Linked DNA regions of Coturnix japonica. The protein of the gene in region 3 interacts with the protein of the main gene of each other region in a biochemical or structural test. Links are inferred from orthologs where the notes say so. Each region holds a gene or a part of one and is shown on either strand. Other genes may lie near its edges. The genes, in order: PTPN1, MAPK8 and STAT3.

Region 1 (4,822 bases), on a different chromosome or scaffold from region 3:
GTCTGCAGTCTGTATCCACACACACCTCTGTGTCCAGCAGTCACTGAACTGCAGATCTTCAAGCCAAACTACACCAGTATTTCAAATCTTTGCTTCAAAATAAGCAAAACACACAAATGCTTGCATCAAAAGCCAGCTGATACGTTCTGAGACCAACATGTCTTCTGTTGAACATTCTATGTCTTAAGGAAGCTGCCACAGCATTGACGGCTCTGGTTTTCTTGACATGCTTTCCTGCTCCTTACCTGCAGTGCCTCTGAGTACATCACCTCCCAGCTGTGGCAGAAAGCACGCTATCCACGGAGCAGGTGTACAGTGAAACTGCGTCTTACATTCCAAATGATGAGGTTTATGAACTGGTCCTTCTGAATGCCAACTGAACAGCTTCAAAATGCTGGTGGACATATTTTGGTTGAACTTTCTTTCCTGTTTCTTTCCCTTCCCTCAATTTCTCCTAACCCAGAATACAAATGTAAAAACAGCTTTACAAAGGATGGTGCAATGTAAATAGGTATATGTGCAAGTAGAGCGCAACAAAAGTCAATGAGAAGATACATTTCTTTTATATTAAAAAAGAAAAAGAAAAAAAGAGCTGGACATGTTGACATACCCTGAGCAAATGCAGAAGCCTGTTTCTATAAACAACGTAAAACAATAAGCTCTTTCAGAAAAGTTTTGCCAAGATTAAATACATCAATACCACAGGCACTGCCCACAACTCAGTCCTTAACAGATGAAGCAAGTTAAAAATAAAACCAAACCAAACCCCAAACCCACCCAACCGCAGCTGCCCCCGCCCCTTCCAAAAGGTTTACATTCTCCAGGTATGTGGGTTTATTTTTCTTTTCTCGGGAACTCATCGATGTAAGTGATGTATTTGGCTACAACACTTGGAGAGTACAAGCAAGTTTTGTTTGCGCCTGGCTTTTCTGAGACACAAAAGAAAAAGAACTGGCTTTTTAAAAAAGGCTAAGAACAACAATGTGTTGTAATTCTATTATTTAGTTAAAAAAAAAAAAACAACCAAAAAACAAAAACAAAAACAGACTATTTGGCATTTTCTCTGTTTACTCCTGAATATTTTAAGGCCCTGAGATCAGAATATCACGTTCTTGGGACCACAGGGCTAAGTAAAACCCTAGTGCATCAATTCTCTCTTTAAGCCCAAAGTTCTGGCCTTTCAACCTAAGAGCCTCTGCGGAGATGAGGCTCACGTGCCTCAAGGAGCTTTCTTGTACAGAAGCTTATTACAAACCGATCAAATTGTTGGTGTTTTTTGCGGGGTCAGTGGTGCTGGCATGTCCATCAGTGAAAACATACCCTGTAACACAGATAAGCTCCTGCTGTGAGGAAGGTGAACATGCATATATTCACTAGAAACGGCTTCCAAGTTGTCATCATGTTCTCATCATCCTCTTCTATGCTTTCTGACTTCATCGACTCTTCTCTGTGTGCTGAGACGTGCAGGTTTTCACCAACAGTTCTCCTCCGAATTTCAGTGTCTTGACTAGTGCTTAAGGACAAATAAATAAACGTTCAGTGCTGGATTTTCCCTTTAAAGAATGAGCTGACCCAACCTTAACCACCTCTTACTTCCACTGCTCATCCTAAATCTGCTGTCTCTGCAGCCACTGAGACAAGAAAGGGCCAACCTGCATCCAGCTGAGGAGAACAAGGTTCTGAAATCAGCTGCTCAAAGAGTCAGAAAGTGCTGAAATTATGGTTGGTTTGTACTATTGTAAGAGTGGCCAGGAGCACTGTGATGGCTTTTAATGATGGAACTGAAGGTTTCTCCATCTTTAATACGATTTAATGCGTTTTTTCTAGATAAAGACCTCCATCATGTTGATAGTATACTGAAATATAGAGAGGCTTATTAACTTTAACTTTCAGATCTGCTGCATTGCTACTTCCATCTGAATTTAGAAATGAGTTAACCAGCTCTACACCACTCGGATGGAGCAGGAGGGCCATCTAGTGGCCAACAGGTCACAGTCATACAGCACTTCTGTGTGTTTGTCACACCTGACAATTGAGGTTGCAATGACAGGTAGAAAAGTTCTCTGTTCGTGAGCCCCTTCTACTCCTTTCATCAAAACCAGCTTTGCTTAGGATTAATTTCACATTTCTAAGTGCAGCTAAAGCTGATCCGCCCAGCTCTCAGCTCCACCTCCAGTGAAAGAGCTCCTGTGTAACTGAATGTAACGTACACATCACATGTAAACTGAGACTAAGCCACCTTGCTCTGCTGCCACTTCTCTCACTACAGCAGGATCTCGATTTAAAAAAAATGCTGAAGAACTTTTCCATAAAATATGCACAGACTTTGTTTTGGAACTGCTGTTATACTAATTCAGTCAGCGTCTGTTCAGGATTTTCCATATGAAATGCCATTTATGAACAAGCTGAAGTGGGAAACTAAATTAATTACCTGTCTGTGATCAGTGGCACAGATGAAAAACCTCTGCCATCTGGAACCATCTCTTCAACAGTGCTGACTGAGGATCTAATCTCTTCCTCTACCACTTGATGCTTAGGAAAGAATTCTGCATGTTCGTGCATCCTTCCATTGTGCATTTCTGAGGTTCTCTTTGGTGGTCGGGGAGGAGGTGGGGTATGTTCAGGTGGTGGGTCCAGATCTTCATTGGAGAGCTCTTTCCACTGTTCCTTCAGGGAAGGAAATGCCCTGTTACGTTTTCCACTGTTTATTTTATGTAAACTACTGTAACTTTAAGTTGGCAGGGGTGTTACACTCTACCTTCTCATTTATTTTTAGCATGCCTGTTCATTTGCATTGAAAAAAAGGGGAAAAAAGAGACACAAAAATAATACAAAATCTAAGCTATCTGCAGTACACTGAAGACATCAGCTATAAAAGGAAGAAATTTTAATCTACATCTGGAAATTTTAAATAGCATGAAATAGAACCTATGTTGCTAGTTCTGCTGTAAGAATTAATTGCAGTACTTAAATTTCTGCCTTCTTAGAAAGCTGATGAAAGACATGGCAGATGCAGCCAATCTACGCCCCAGTTACGGTGCTGAAAAGTACACAGGCACCACCTATTAGTCTACAGGACTACAGGAAGTATTCTGAGGTGTTGTATTTTAGTACTGCATAATATAAAAATGTATTGAAGCCAAAGGAATTTAAAGCTCGTTTTGTTCTTATGCTACAGTTAAAAAACGCGTTGCAGCTTACTATACATCTGGTTCCACAGTCCATAATACTCACTTGCACTGAAGCATCCCCCATAATGAATTTTGCCCCCTCAATTACAGCTAAGTAGGAGAAACGAAGCTGATCCGCTGTCTGTATAAGTCCCATTCTGTACTTCCTCATTTCTAGGAGAACCTGTTTAACATCCACAGAAGAAGGATCTTTCCGTTTGTCCATCTGAAGATAAAAAATTTGGAACACACTTTATGCTCTGATGAGATTCAATACGATGACTGGCTTCACAGAACAGCTTTCAGACCATTCTACCTATTGCAGAATTAATACACTAAGAAAAAACACAGAAATGGAAGATTGCACTACCTTAGTTTTAAAATGAAAGACTGTCTTAAACTAGAATATGAGTAAGATAAGAGAAATAACGTGCAAAAATACTCCACAGAAAACACCACAGCTCTTCATAGGCCAGAAGAAACCACTGTTCAAGGGAACTCTACTGAAACAGCGTATCATCTCCACAGCAGATCTTACCAGCAGAAGACACGTATCGACCAGACAGAAAGTTCCTGATCTGCCAATTCCTGCGCTGCAGTGCACCACAACAGGTCCATACTCGGGGTTAAGTGAGCCAGATTCTCTCACTTTGAACAGGAAATTGAGGAATGAAGCAGGAGACTCTGGGACTCCAAAGTCAGGCCACGTAGTATAATGAAAGTGCAGAATCTCTCTGGTTTCTTGCATCTGTAAAAGACAGTGCTTATGAAGTCTTTCAGCTGGATACACAGTTTTGCAACTATTCGAATTACAGCTGCTTACAACAATGTTCAAATGAGCAAATACAATCCCTCACACATTCATTTTCCTAGCAAACACTTTCCTACATACTCTCCTACAGTTCTCAGAATGGTGTACAGCAACCTACAGAAGCCCCTTCCACTTTCTGCAGACAAACACACCATCACAGGTTGTTCCTTTACACCTTATTCCAAATCTCGAACATTTCTTCCATGACAACTGACTCACTGCTGCTCACATCCTGTACAATGCTGAGGTACAACCATCCAAAACATGCCAAGGGCAGACAGACCTCTTAGTACACCAAGCAAACTGCAACAGCCAAATCCTTACTCTGCTGTCACTCAACCAACCAAATTTGTATCTGCTTTCTCACATTTCCTGGCACAAGATGCTCACAGTTGAGCAAATATCGATTACCTTCCAGTACTGAGCAGTCTGTGGGCAGAACAGAACTGTGGCTAGAATGCCACAACATCCACACTCAGCACTGCTGGGAACCTCAGACATTATCTTCAGTTACCCACATTCAGTGAAAGTGAATGGTGATATTCCTCGCCAGCCTCACTCAGGAACTTTCCATCAGGTGTTACTGCTCTGAATGACTGTTCTTGTCTTTCTTCTCTGCCAGAGTAATGCTCCAATACCAAACATCTGATACAAAACCATCTGATACAGAATCATCGATTCCAGCACAAAATCTGCTGTATTTCACACCGGTCTTTTTCATAACCTTAGTGACAAGGTGGGTCTCACCTCAGAGTGATTAAAGAACATGGCTGGTAGAAACTTCTGTACTTACTGTAAGGTTTTCCAATTCTAGTTGTCGTACTGTGTAATATGATTTTAT
Region 2 (5,314 bases), on a different chromosome or scaffold from region 3:
ACTGAATTTTATGCCATAATGTCTAATTTCTGATATTTTTGTTTATGAAACTTGGGTGAGATACTCAGATCCATTGACTCTGGATGTTTCAGCCTGAATTGTTTGTTTTACAGTTTGTAAGCATCAGTGTGTTATATCAGTGTTTACCATCAAGGCTGTGATAATTGATAAGAATTTAATGAAAATACTCAGAAATGATCAAGCTACATTCCTAATGCAATTTAATGACTGCTGAATCTAAATGTTTTAATATGATGTTCATAAACATACCACTATACCTACGTATGGAAGCGAGAAAGGTTTCAGTATTTTGACATAATTCAGATTTTTCTGGCACTGTTTCTCTATAAAAATATTTATTAGACACTCGACAACCACATAATTTAGAGCAGCAATCCAAAGCCAAGACTAATGCTGCTTGGACAGCCAAACTGAGGAGTTAAAAAGTCACTTAGAAATACCTCTCTGTTAAAAAGTGCCAACTATAAAATCTTAATGAGATTTTGATTGCGACCTGAAAAATAAATGTGACAAATCTGAATCGTAAGCAAAGCACAGTTTTATACCTTAAAGGGGCTGACATCCTTCTTTACTTGCAAATCTTAATGTGGTCTTACCTCAAGATCAGGAGCAATAACCCACCCAAAAGACAAAGATTAACATCAGTGAACTGCAAGGCCACAAGCCTTGTTGCAAATACGATAGAGGCTGAACATGATTCTCCCCACCTAGTTCTTTCAGTGGAGGTTTGTTTGGTAACATAACCAAATAATATTATATAATATATAATTTACAATATTCTGCAAGTGAAGATGGGTATGATCTAAGACAGACTAAGCTGTGCTGCGTTGTCTGGGGTTTCATACTGCTCCTTCTGCCAAGCTGAGCTTTGCCTCTTTCACACATAAACACGGCAGGGAATGCAATGTCTGATCATGATCTAACATAATTCAACAGGAAGTCTCAAACCTGAAAGCTGGCTATGTCACTTCTGGGTCTGTCTCATGGAATGACAGGTGGTGAGGCAGGAGTGGCTACCTTGGTAACATGCTTACAGTGTAGTGGGATCCAGGGACACCTGGGAGCAGTCTGAACAACAGTTTTGTTTTATTTTGTTTTCCTATAAATTGTTATGTATAGGTCTATAGGGAACTGCAAAGGAACAACTTCTAACTTAAGGGGTTGAAATAGGATTGTTTGTATTGAGAATTTTAAGGTCAGACAGTGCAGATATTTCCATAAAATGGGAATGTGAGTAGTATACAGCTTTTGACATTATGACAGTGGGTAAGACTGGAACATCTGAAGCAGTATCCTTACTAGTTAAAAATCTATTTTTTGTTTCAGAGATGTGGAAAGACAATCTCACTGCATTATTTTGCATCTTCAAAAATGTGGCACAAGCCATTCCAATGTTTGACAGTAAGATGTGAAGCGTCCAATTCACTGTGCCCTGTGCCTAACTGGTAGATTTTATGTATTTTTAAAGACTCTTCCGGAGGTTTTATTTTTAGTACTACGCAGTGTAAGTATACAAAGGCTTGTTTCAGCCATATTGACATGACTTCAAGGTATGGAGTCTGTAGACAGGGGTATTGCTGGTTGAAAGGAGAAAAACAGAGGAGGGAAGGGAAAGGAAAGGAAGAATAACAAACAGAACATTGTAAAAACAAAGCAGAGCACCCATGGGAGGTGCCAAGAGCTAAAGGTGGTGGTAATAACTCAAAATCTCACAAATAGCTGCCTAAAGCTTAGAGAACAAACGGTGCCAAACCAGATACAGAAGATGTTACACCACTCCAGATACCCAGCAATGAGATAAAGCACTGCCATTCCAGATGTTCAGGGGGAAGGCTAGGACTGCCAAGGCCTTGCAGGATGTCTGGGAACACTAGGAAACGGAGGAGAGCATGAAGGCAAACACCTGAAAAACGCAGTTTTGTTACAGCAGGCCCGGGTACAGGGCATAATGCTGGGAAGGAGCAGGCACAGCCCAGCAGACACCAGACCGGGCTCAGCGGCAGCGCTGGCAGCCTGCAGCCTCCCGCAGGGCCCGTGCCCGGAGGGGCGGCTCAGGGGCGGCGGGGGCCGGGCCGGGCGTGCGGGCGGAGCGAGCGGAGGGGGCGGGCAGCCGCAGCCGCGCCGGGCGGACGAAGCGCGGTGCGTGTGCGCGGCCCGGCCCCGGTTCATTATTCAGCGGCCGAGGAAGGAGGCGACGGGAGGTGGTATGTGCGGTGCCTGGGGTTGAGGAGGGATGGCGGTGGCGGCGGCTGGGAAGCGGGGCTGGAGCCGGGCGGGTGTGCAGGGAGCGGCAGCGCTGCGGGGGCCGGGCCTGGCCGCTTTGTTTACGTTCCAGCGCGGGGCAGCGGGCCGGCAGCGAGCGTGGCGTGGCCCTTTTCTTCCTGCGGGGTTGTCTGCGTTCGTGACCTTCCCTGCGCGCCGGGCTCCGCTGCGGCCCGGCGGTGCGGGGGCTGCTGGAGGTGCCTGGGCGGATAATGGCGGGGGCCTCTTTGTTGATGTGACAGGAGGGGCAGCAGCCTCGGCGCCGGGCTCCTCCTCTTCCCCGGGCGGGGGGCAGCAGCCCAGGCCGTGGGCAGCTCTGGCAGCCCGGCCCTCGGTGCGGGGAGGTGCGAGCGCAGCCGTGCTCAGCCACCTCTGTGCTGAACTTCCATGACCTTGCTTTCAAAACGCCTTCTGAAGCAAAAAGCACTTCCCATAACTGCTCCGATTATAGGGCTTGGGGAAGGTGGGCAATGCCTTTGATTCTTTTGCCTTTTAGTTTTTGTAATCCTTGTAAAAACAGTGAGCTCTTTGCAATTTTTCTTTGCACTTTGTTTTCTCCATGTCATTATCAGCATCCAGTTTGGCTCCTGTAGCCTGCTTTCTTATGTTCAGTGCAGTGCTTTCACCAGTGAATCCTGGCCCAGGCACTGCTGATAACCCACAGATACAAGTCCCACTCAATTGTTTAGTTCCCCCAGCTATACATGTGGCATGGCTTTGAATTTCTGTATCATGCAGAGCAGGCTTGCTGAAGTCTTTCAGACAGTCCAAAAACCTTGTGTGTTTTGGCCTATCTGATAACACAAAAGGTGCTGTACTGGTTTGTGGAAGGTGAGTTTTGCTTGCCTCCTGGGCATGTGCTTGTAGCATTTAGCAAGCTTACATTACAGCTGGCTTCTTTGTATAGGTGTGGAGACTTGGCTGTAATGGCACACAGCTGAGCTGCTGAGACACAGCCTTGTTTCTGAAGATGCCAGCAGAGGTGCTTCTAGGGCAGAAGCACATGTAGAAGCGATAATGCACCTCACTGTATCTGTATATCTGCAGATATGTTGATAGATAACTTTGAACTAGTTCAGAGTGTTATTACATGAAGAGAATCTGGGCCCAACCTGGTTAAGGATAGTATCCAAGTGAGCTCACTGATGAATTTGAGTATTCCTTCTGTATAGTGAAGGGAAGCCCTTCCTTCAGCAGTAGCAAAGAAAAATGGGTTGTATTTTGAGTAGTCTTGTTCTATGATCTCAACATGTGGGGGAAGCCATCTTGTCATTCCCCACTTGATTCAAAGATGTGTAGCATGGGCTGGTTAGATAGGAGCAGTGATCATCCCACATCAGTTTCCTTTCTTTGCTGTAGCTTTTGCTCTGTGGTCTCAGTTTCCTCCCTTGAGTTTGAGTGCCAAGAAGCTCTGATGGGAATGTCTGGTTCTGGTAGAGTGCTGCAACACACGTGATGCCTGTACAGGCATCAGGCACATTCCAGTCTGTCAGATACTGGCAGTTTTCAGGGCCAACTGGCTGAAAGTGTGACAGGAGGGAAGAATCAAACGTTTATTGACAGACATTTATTAACACAGAGCTGAATCTGTGTGAAATCGTTGCCTTAACTTTGAACGGGAATGTTAACTGTGTCCTCTGCTCTCCCAAGCTTTTTTGACCAGGGGTGCCTCCACTTCACAAGATACAATATAATCTCATGAAGTGCCGTATACTTCATGGAGACTTCTTGATCAGCGACTCGGACAAAACCCGTTTACTGCGGTACTGAATTTTGTGGTTGGGGACTACTCGTTCTAGGTAGAAGTACAGCTGCCCTTTTGTATGTGTGGCTTTTGTGTTTTAACTTCCAGTAACTGAAAGCTCATTAGGGAGCAAGGCTTTAGCTGGCTGCGTGGGAGAGCAGATGTAACAACCTTCCAAATTCTTCAGGTAAACTTGTTACATTGTTTCCCTGTTACCAAACTACCGGGAATTGACCACGTGTTTGCGTATTTCATCCATTGAAGTCATTTTCTTCCACCAATGTACCAGAACTTGTTCCTTGTGGTTTCTTTCAGCTACTAACGGGTTATCTGTTCCTTTTATATTCCCTTTGTTGTTTTGGTTTGTCCTTTCTTCCTCAACCGCCAAATTATCTGAATGGCTATTCTTTAAAAGATGCATAGAAAGTACCTGCATACATACCTCTTCCTTTCTGCAGTTTTCTCCCGTGTTCTTGATAAATGCAAATCACTTTGATAGTCTGATGAAGAGTTTAGTATTCCATGCCTTAAACTTCATTCTCTTCCTCCTCTTTACCTGTGGGAGAACGTGCTGTGTTTACAGTGTTCTTAAAAAGTGTTATTTTAATGTAATTTTTGTGTTCAAGAAAAGTTTGGATGTTGTGTTGAGGGATATGTTTTAACTGGGAAATATTGGTGTTGGTTGGACTGGATGATCTTCTAGGTCTTTTCCAACCTTGATAATTCTGTAATTCTGTTTGTTTGTTTGTTTTTTCTACTGCTTTTCATCATAGATTTTTAATAAAGACAGAATATTTTCTCTCTGTAAATGTTTTCTTCAAACAAATAAACCCTGAGTTGTTCTTCATTCAAAACCTGCAGAAACAGAAATCTGTTTATATTATGGGAAGATCTCTTGGTCCTTGAAAGCTGTTTAAAAATCAAATTGAAACTACTTGTGTAGTTTTCCTGCTGTGAAGTTCATCAGAGCACACTCGTGGATTCTAGAAAATAATCTTTACATTGCTGAATTAAGCATCCAAATATGTAATTTCCAAATCATTTTCAATAAATGTCTTGTTTAGATCGAGGTGGGAATTTTACTTTTAAACCTGATAAAGGCTTTTGACTTTCCTTGAGGAAAGATAATTTTTTTGTGTTTTCTGTTTAAGGGGACATTGCTCCATGTGTATGATTTATTTGTATGAAAATACACAAATAGCCATTTTAACTCATGGATGTTATTTTTAACACTGACTGCAGTATCAGTGGACTGGTTGATAAAATCCTTGTTTTCAAAGCAATTAC
Region 3 (4,822 bases):
ATGCAGGGCTGCCTCTCCACCACAAAAGCACTGTAGGAGAAGACAAATAAAATGCAGTCAAACCTCAGCCCCACCCCAGCACACAGTGCTCACCCCTTCATGCACTACCTGTAACCAAGGAACAGGTCACAAGCTCCCTCTCAGCCCCAGGCACCTTTTCATCAGGTTCCTGAACAGCTCCACAATCCGCTCCTCCAGCATTGGCCGGTGTTGGACAATTGGGTCACCCTTGTAGGACACCTTCTGCTGCAGCTCTTCCAGTTTCTTGATCTGCTGCCGGGTCTGTAGCTGTGATTCAGCAAGAGAGGTTATCCTAGGGAGCAGGAAGAACCAGCATTAGCTCTGGCTGCCAAGTCCTGCACAGTCCCTGCCCACAGAGCCCTCCTCCTCCCCTCACTTCTGCAAGAGAGGACATTCACTGTACCAAACCAGCACAGAACAGAACATGTCCGTAGTGCATTTTTCTAGGCCACAGACTATGAAAGAAACCTGCATGAGCCAACGTTCTGAGCCGTTATACCAACCAAGGGCACAGGAACAGCCACGCAAGCCACCAGCCTTACAATCTCACAAACCTGGAGCTAATGAATCCAGCATTATTGTCCACTATCAAGTATAAGGGTGGCTATCAGATTACATTTACACCTGCAGGCATCAGCAGCCATTTAGCAAAGACGTTGCCAATGGCAGAGAACTCATTTTTGGTGCTGGCATTTGATTTCTGCCTCTCCAGGGTCCAGTGCAATCTTACCAGTTCTCGAGCCGGTCTAAGCAGATATTTGGAGGGCCACCAATGCAGGCAATTTGCTGCCGTCTCTTCCAGTCTGCCAGCTCCTCATCTGCCAGCATCTTCTGCACATACTCCATGGCTGACAGCAGTCCTGCCAGCTCACTCACAATACCCTGCCAAACGAGAAAGCAGGACCTTCAGCATTCTGACTCCCTCCATGTCCCATAAGTTTCATGATCACAAGAAGTGGAGCTGCCCGCTGATTTATTGCCAGCGCTGCTCTTCTAATTATACCCATGTATGACTATCAAATCCATATCCCAGAATAAGAGCACACCTATACCCTGGAGGGATCTGGAAGGCCAGTAGCGTGACATACCCTTCGCATCTGGTCCAGTGCCGTGAGCATCTGTTCCAGTTGCTGCATTTTCTGACGTGTCACTGACTGATTGTTTCCATTAAGATCCTGCATATCTGTGCAAAGAGGACACAAAGCTTCAGCCAAACAAATGCACTCCTCCTACCCTCCCAAACATCACAAAGACCACAAAGCTGACTACAAATGAGCAGACATTCTAGGAAGCCATCAGTAGTTAAGCAGTGATCTCAGCCTTTGACAGCTCTGCCTCCAAGCACCTTTCTGGCATTTCTGCATACACAGCAGCATTATCACCTTCTCATGCAGTTCTCCTTCCACAGGCAAAGCTCAGGTTTGGATCCCCTGCAGGCCCTGTCAGCTTCTTTTTGTTTCTGTCACTATCTCCAATTGCCATGCAAATGCCCTAACACTAACCCACCCTTCAAGCTTGGGTAGGAGGCACTGGGAGGGCTGGAACACACCCTCCGGCATGTTTCCTTGCAGGAACACACTTTGGCTTGCCAGATGCTAATGAGCTTTAATACCTCCTTGGCTTTTCAAAGTCTTGTAGTTAAAATCAAAGTCATCCTGGAGATTCTCCACCACTTTCATCTTCTGCTCCAGATCCTGCAATGCAAGAGATGGGATTTGTTCAAAGTACAACATCCCCACAGCACTCCTAGAAGTACCAGGGGAAGAAGGTGCCCAGGCAGCACTTACCTGAACTCTCTTCCTTACATCCTGCAGATGCTGCTCCAGCATCTGTTGCTTTTCTGTCACTACAGCTGCTGTTGGATGTGTCGCCTGTCCCCCTTGCTGTAGAAGGGACAAAGGAGGGCATCAGAACTGGGCTGTAACTCAGGAAGTTCTGCATAAAGTCAAACCCTTTACTACACAAACAAACAAACTTAGCGCAGAGCACTGATGCACCCCAGAGAGCTGGGGGTCATCTGCCCTTCACTGCAGTTTGAGCACCCCTCTGAACTACCATTGCTGAAAGAAACATGTAAGAAGCTTCAGACCAGAGCTTCCTGATGGCACCAAGCTCTGCAGAGCTGCTGGGTGGGCAGAGGGACACCTGAGTCACCTACCTGGGCTGCAGTGGCAGCTGTCTGGAGGAGCCGTGACTCTTCCCACAGGCAGCGAGCCACGATGCGGGCTATTTCCATCGGCTTCTCCAAATATCTGCTCTATAAAACATCGAAGGCCTCAGGGTTAGCCTTCAAACTATAACTGCTGGGATCTCTGTGTGCTGTAGGGCTGGATCTGTGAGCTGTGACAAGGAGGCCACTGCACTTCAGTAACAGAATGTTGCCTCCCACCTCACCTGCAGGAACTGCTTGATGCGCCGCAGGTTGTGCTGGTACAGGACATTGGATTCCTGCAGGAAGCGGCTGTACTGCTGGTCAATCTCCCCCAGCAGGTTGTGGAACACCAGCGTGGCGTGTGACTCCTTGTTGGCAGCATATGCCCTGCATGAGGAGACAGCAGAGCCCTTACACCCAGCCCAGGGGAGGCACAGCACAGTGCTGCAGGAAGGGCAGCTCTGTGAACACCTGCTGCCCCACACACAGCCCAGCATCCCAGTGACTGCCTAACCTACATCAGGATGCAGCCACAGTTGGCCTTGCTCCCATGAGAGCAGGGAGACAGAGGTGTTTCAGATGCTGGAAGACAGCAGGCACAAGCACCTCAATTCCAACCTTGTTTAGAACAGAGCTTGACGTAAACCCTGACACCTCTGCTGTGGATTTCCCCTTTCTCCCAGTCTGAGGTCTGACACCAAACACACAGACTCCCACTCCATTTCACACTGCATGCAACGCAAGGAGGAAGAATAGACCCAGCACCCAGAGAAGCTGGCAGAGTCCCTCCAGAGCCGCCTGGCACCTGCCGCTGTCCCCAGCTGGGGGTCCCAAGTGCAGTCATGTGCCAGAGCTGGGCAGTGCCTTACCAGTCCTGGCTCTCAATCCACGGGGCCAGGAACTGCCGCAGCTCCATGGGGAAGCTGTCGCTGTAAAGCTGGTGGAGCTGCTCCAGGTACCTCGTGTCGAGCTGCTGCAGCTGGTTCCACTGCGCCATCCTGGCCGGCTCCGGAACCCTGCAGGGACAGGCAGGTCAGCACAGCGCCCCTGAGCCCACAGGCTGCCCCCCTGCACAGCACACGGCTTGGCTCAGGCTGACCCTGGGAAGGGAAACAGGGAAGGGCTACAAGGCTGCAGTGCGCTGGGCTGTGCCCACGGGGCTGAGCTCTGCACTGATCCAGCAGCGAGAGGGCTGCCTGCCCACCTGCCCTCACCACCTGATGCTCAGCACGCAGCCAACAGCCAGCTCCAGTTCTCCTGCATTAACAATCCAGAGGCAGGAAGCTCTGCCCTGCCATGAGCCCCGGGACAACGCTGACCTCCAGCTCCCAGCCGAGCTACAGTGAGGAAACCCTCCCACAACAAGCAGCTGTCAGCTCCCAGCTCAGCACTGCTGCCATCACTGTCACCTGTGCTGAGAGGAGGTGGAACCACAGACCCAAAGCACACTGCCACTGAGGGACTAATGGGCACGAGTCGGTGTGGGCAGCAGATTGGTCAGCATGCAACTGCTCAGGGCTCCAGGCTGGAAATGTACCCAAAACCAGGGCAAGATCCACTGCGCTGCCCCAGCTGGAGCTGAGGAACACCCGGATCCTGACTCATCCTCCCTTCAAAGTTAATCCAAAACATCTGAGAGCAGAGCAGTGTGTCTGGCTGCCCAGCTCCAGCCTCTCCCATTCCTAAGCAGGACCTCAGCCATAAGAACCCCCAGAATGGTCACAGACACAGACAGGCACAAAGCCTCGCTCGGTTTCCTTGGAAAAAAAACCTTTCCCAAGCACCTGCCTTCGGATAAACTTCCTCCTAGAGAGGCACCATTTCCCAGAGCTTTCCTACCTTCGTGCCCGGGGGAAGAGTGAAAGGCTCGGGCATGCAGGTCACAGCAGCGGGGCCGGGGCTTTGATCTGCTGCCAGCCCCTTCCGCAGCCCCGCAGTCAGCCCTGCGCCTGCTCCCGAGGGCAGGGAAGGAGCTGCAGCGCTTACAGTAAGTGCGGAAGGCGGAGACTGCCAGGAAGCAACAGAAACGAGGAAGGAGCAATTTTCAAGTGAGCGGCTCGCACATCAATAGGAGTCAGAGTCAGCCGAAGGAGCGACAGCAAGCTGTGCAGGAAGCACAGACACAGCAGCACCACTGAGCCTCACCACGGGCTCACTTCCCCCAGAAAGTGGTTTGATTTTTGCAGGCAACCCCAGCAAGTGACACGTCAGCAGGAGGCACAGGGCTGGCACATGGCTGACACCAGAGCTGTCCCAGAGGCACTGGAGATGGGCACTGACTGGGGGGGAGATGTGGGGGCCACAGCTCTGTGCCCCGGGTCCCCCCCAGAGCAGCTGGTGTTTGTTGTATGCGACCCCTCCTCTATTTCTGTGGATAGTTCTTAGAGGAGAAAAAGGGGAATCAGCCCCACCATGAGACGTGGGGAGATGACACACATTGATTGGCACCCGACAAGGAGTTAAGCTGCTTTTTAGAGCTTTGTGGCATTGCGCAGCCCAGCTGACAGCAGCATCCAGAGGACATTAACCTTGAACCACAGCCTGGTGCAATCTCTAGAGAAGATCATGTGAGCAAAGCCTGGATTTAACAGAGCAATAGGTGAAAGGGAGGAGGAGAAACAGGAGCCTGTAAGGAGACAGACATTCTGT

What was found.
Region 1: of the proteins of STAT3 (region 3) and PTPN1, one has a biochemical effect on the other in vitro, tested with the Homo sapiens proteins (2 studies listed by BioGRID and IntAct). The link is inferred for Coturnix japonica from reciprocal best matches to the Homo sapiens genes STAT3 and PTPN1.
Region 2: of the proteins of STAT3 (region 3) and MAPK8, one has a biochemical effect on the other in vitro, tested with the Homo sapiens proteins (2 studies listed by BioGRID). The link is inferred for Coturnix japonica from reciprocal best matches to the Homo sapiens genes STAT3 and MAPK8.

The regions. Positions count from the first base shown.
Region 1 is NC_029535.1:12,141,057-12,145,878, forward strand, and holds part of PTPN1 (tyrosine-protein phosphatase non-receptor type 1), read right to left. Parts: coding exon 4,775-4,822; intron 4,718-4,774; exon of another isoform or gene 3,919-4,717; coding exon 3,709-3,918; intron 3,397-3,708; coding exon 3,235-3,396; intron 2,668-3,234; coding exon 2,432-2,667; intron 1,514-2,431; coding exon 1,306-1,513; 3' UTR 1-1,305. UniProt on the Homo sapiens protein: Tyrosine-protein phosphatase which acts as a regulator of endoplasmic reticulum unfolded protein response. Mediates dephosphorylation of EIF2AK3/PERK; inactivating the protein kinase activity of EIF2AK3/PERK.
Region 2 is NC_029521.1:15,675,783-15,681,096, forward strand, and holds the start of MAPK8 (mitogen-activated protein kinase 8), read left to right. Parts: upstream 1-2,114; 5' UTR 2,115-2,225; intron 2,226-5,314. UniProt on the Homo sapiens protein: Serine/threonine-protein kinase involved in various processes such as cell proliferation, differentiation, migration, transformation and programmed cell death.
Region 3 is NC_029542.1:4,515,541-4,520,362, forward strand, and holds part of STAT3 (signal transducer and activator of transcription 3), read right to left. Parts: intron 3,190-4,822; 5' UTR 3,171-3,189; coding exon 3,043-3,170; intron 2,561-3,042; coding exon 2,416-2,560; intron 2,279-2,415; coding exon 2,180-2,278; intron 1,905-2,179; coding exon 1,809-1,904; intron 1,716-1,808; coding exon 1,634-1,715; intron 1,205-1,633; coding exon 1,110-1,204; intron 904-1,109; coding exon 752-903; intron 314-751; coding exon 155-313; intron 31-154; coding exon 1-30. UniProt on the Homo sapiens protein: Signal transducer and transcription activator that mediates cellular responses to interleukins, KITLG/SCF, LEP and other growth factors. Once activated, recruits coactivators, such as NCOA1 or MED1, to the promoter region of the target gene.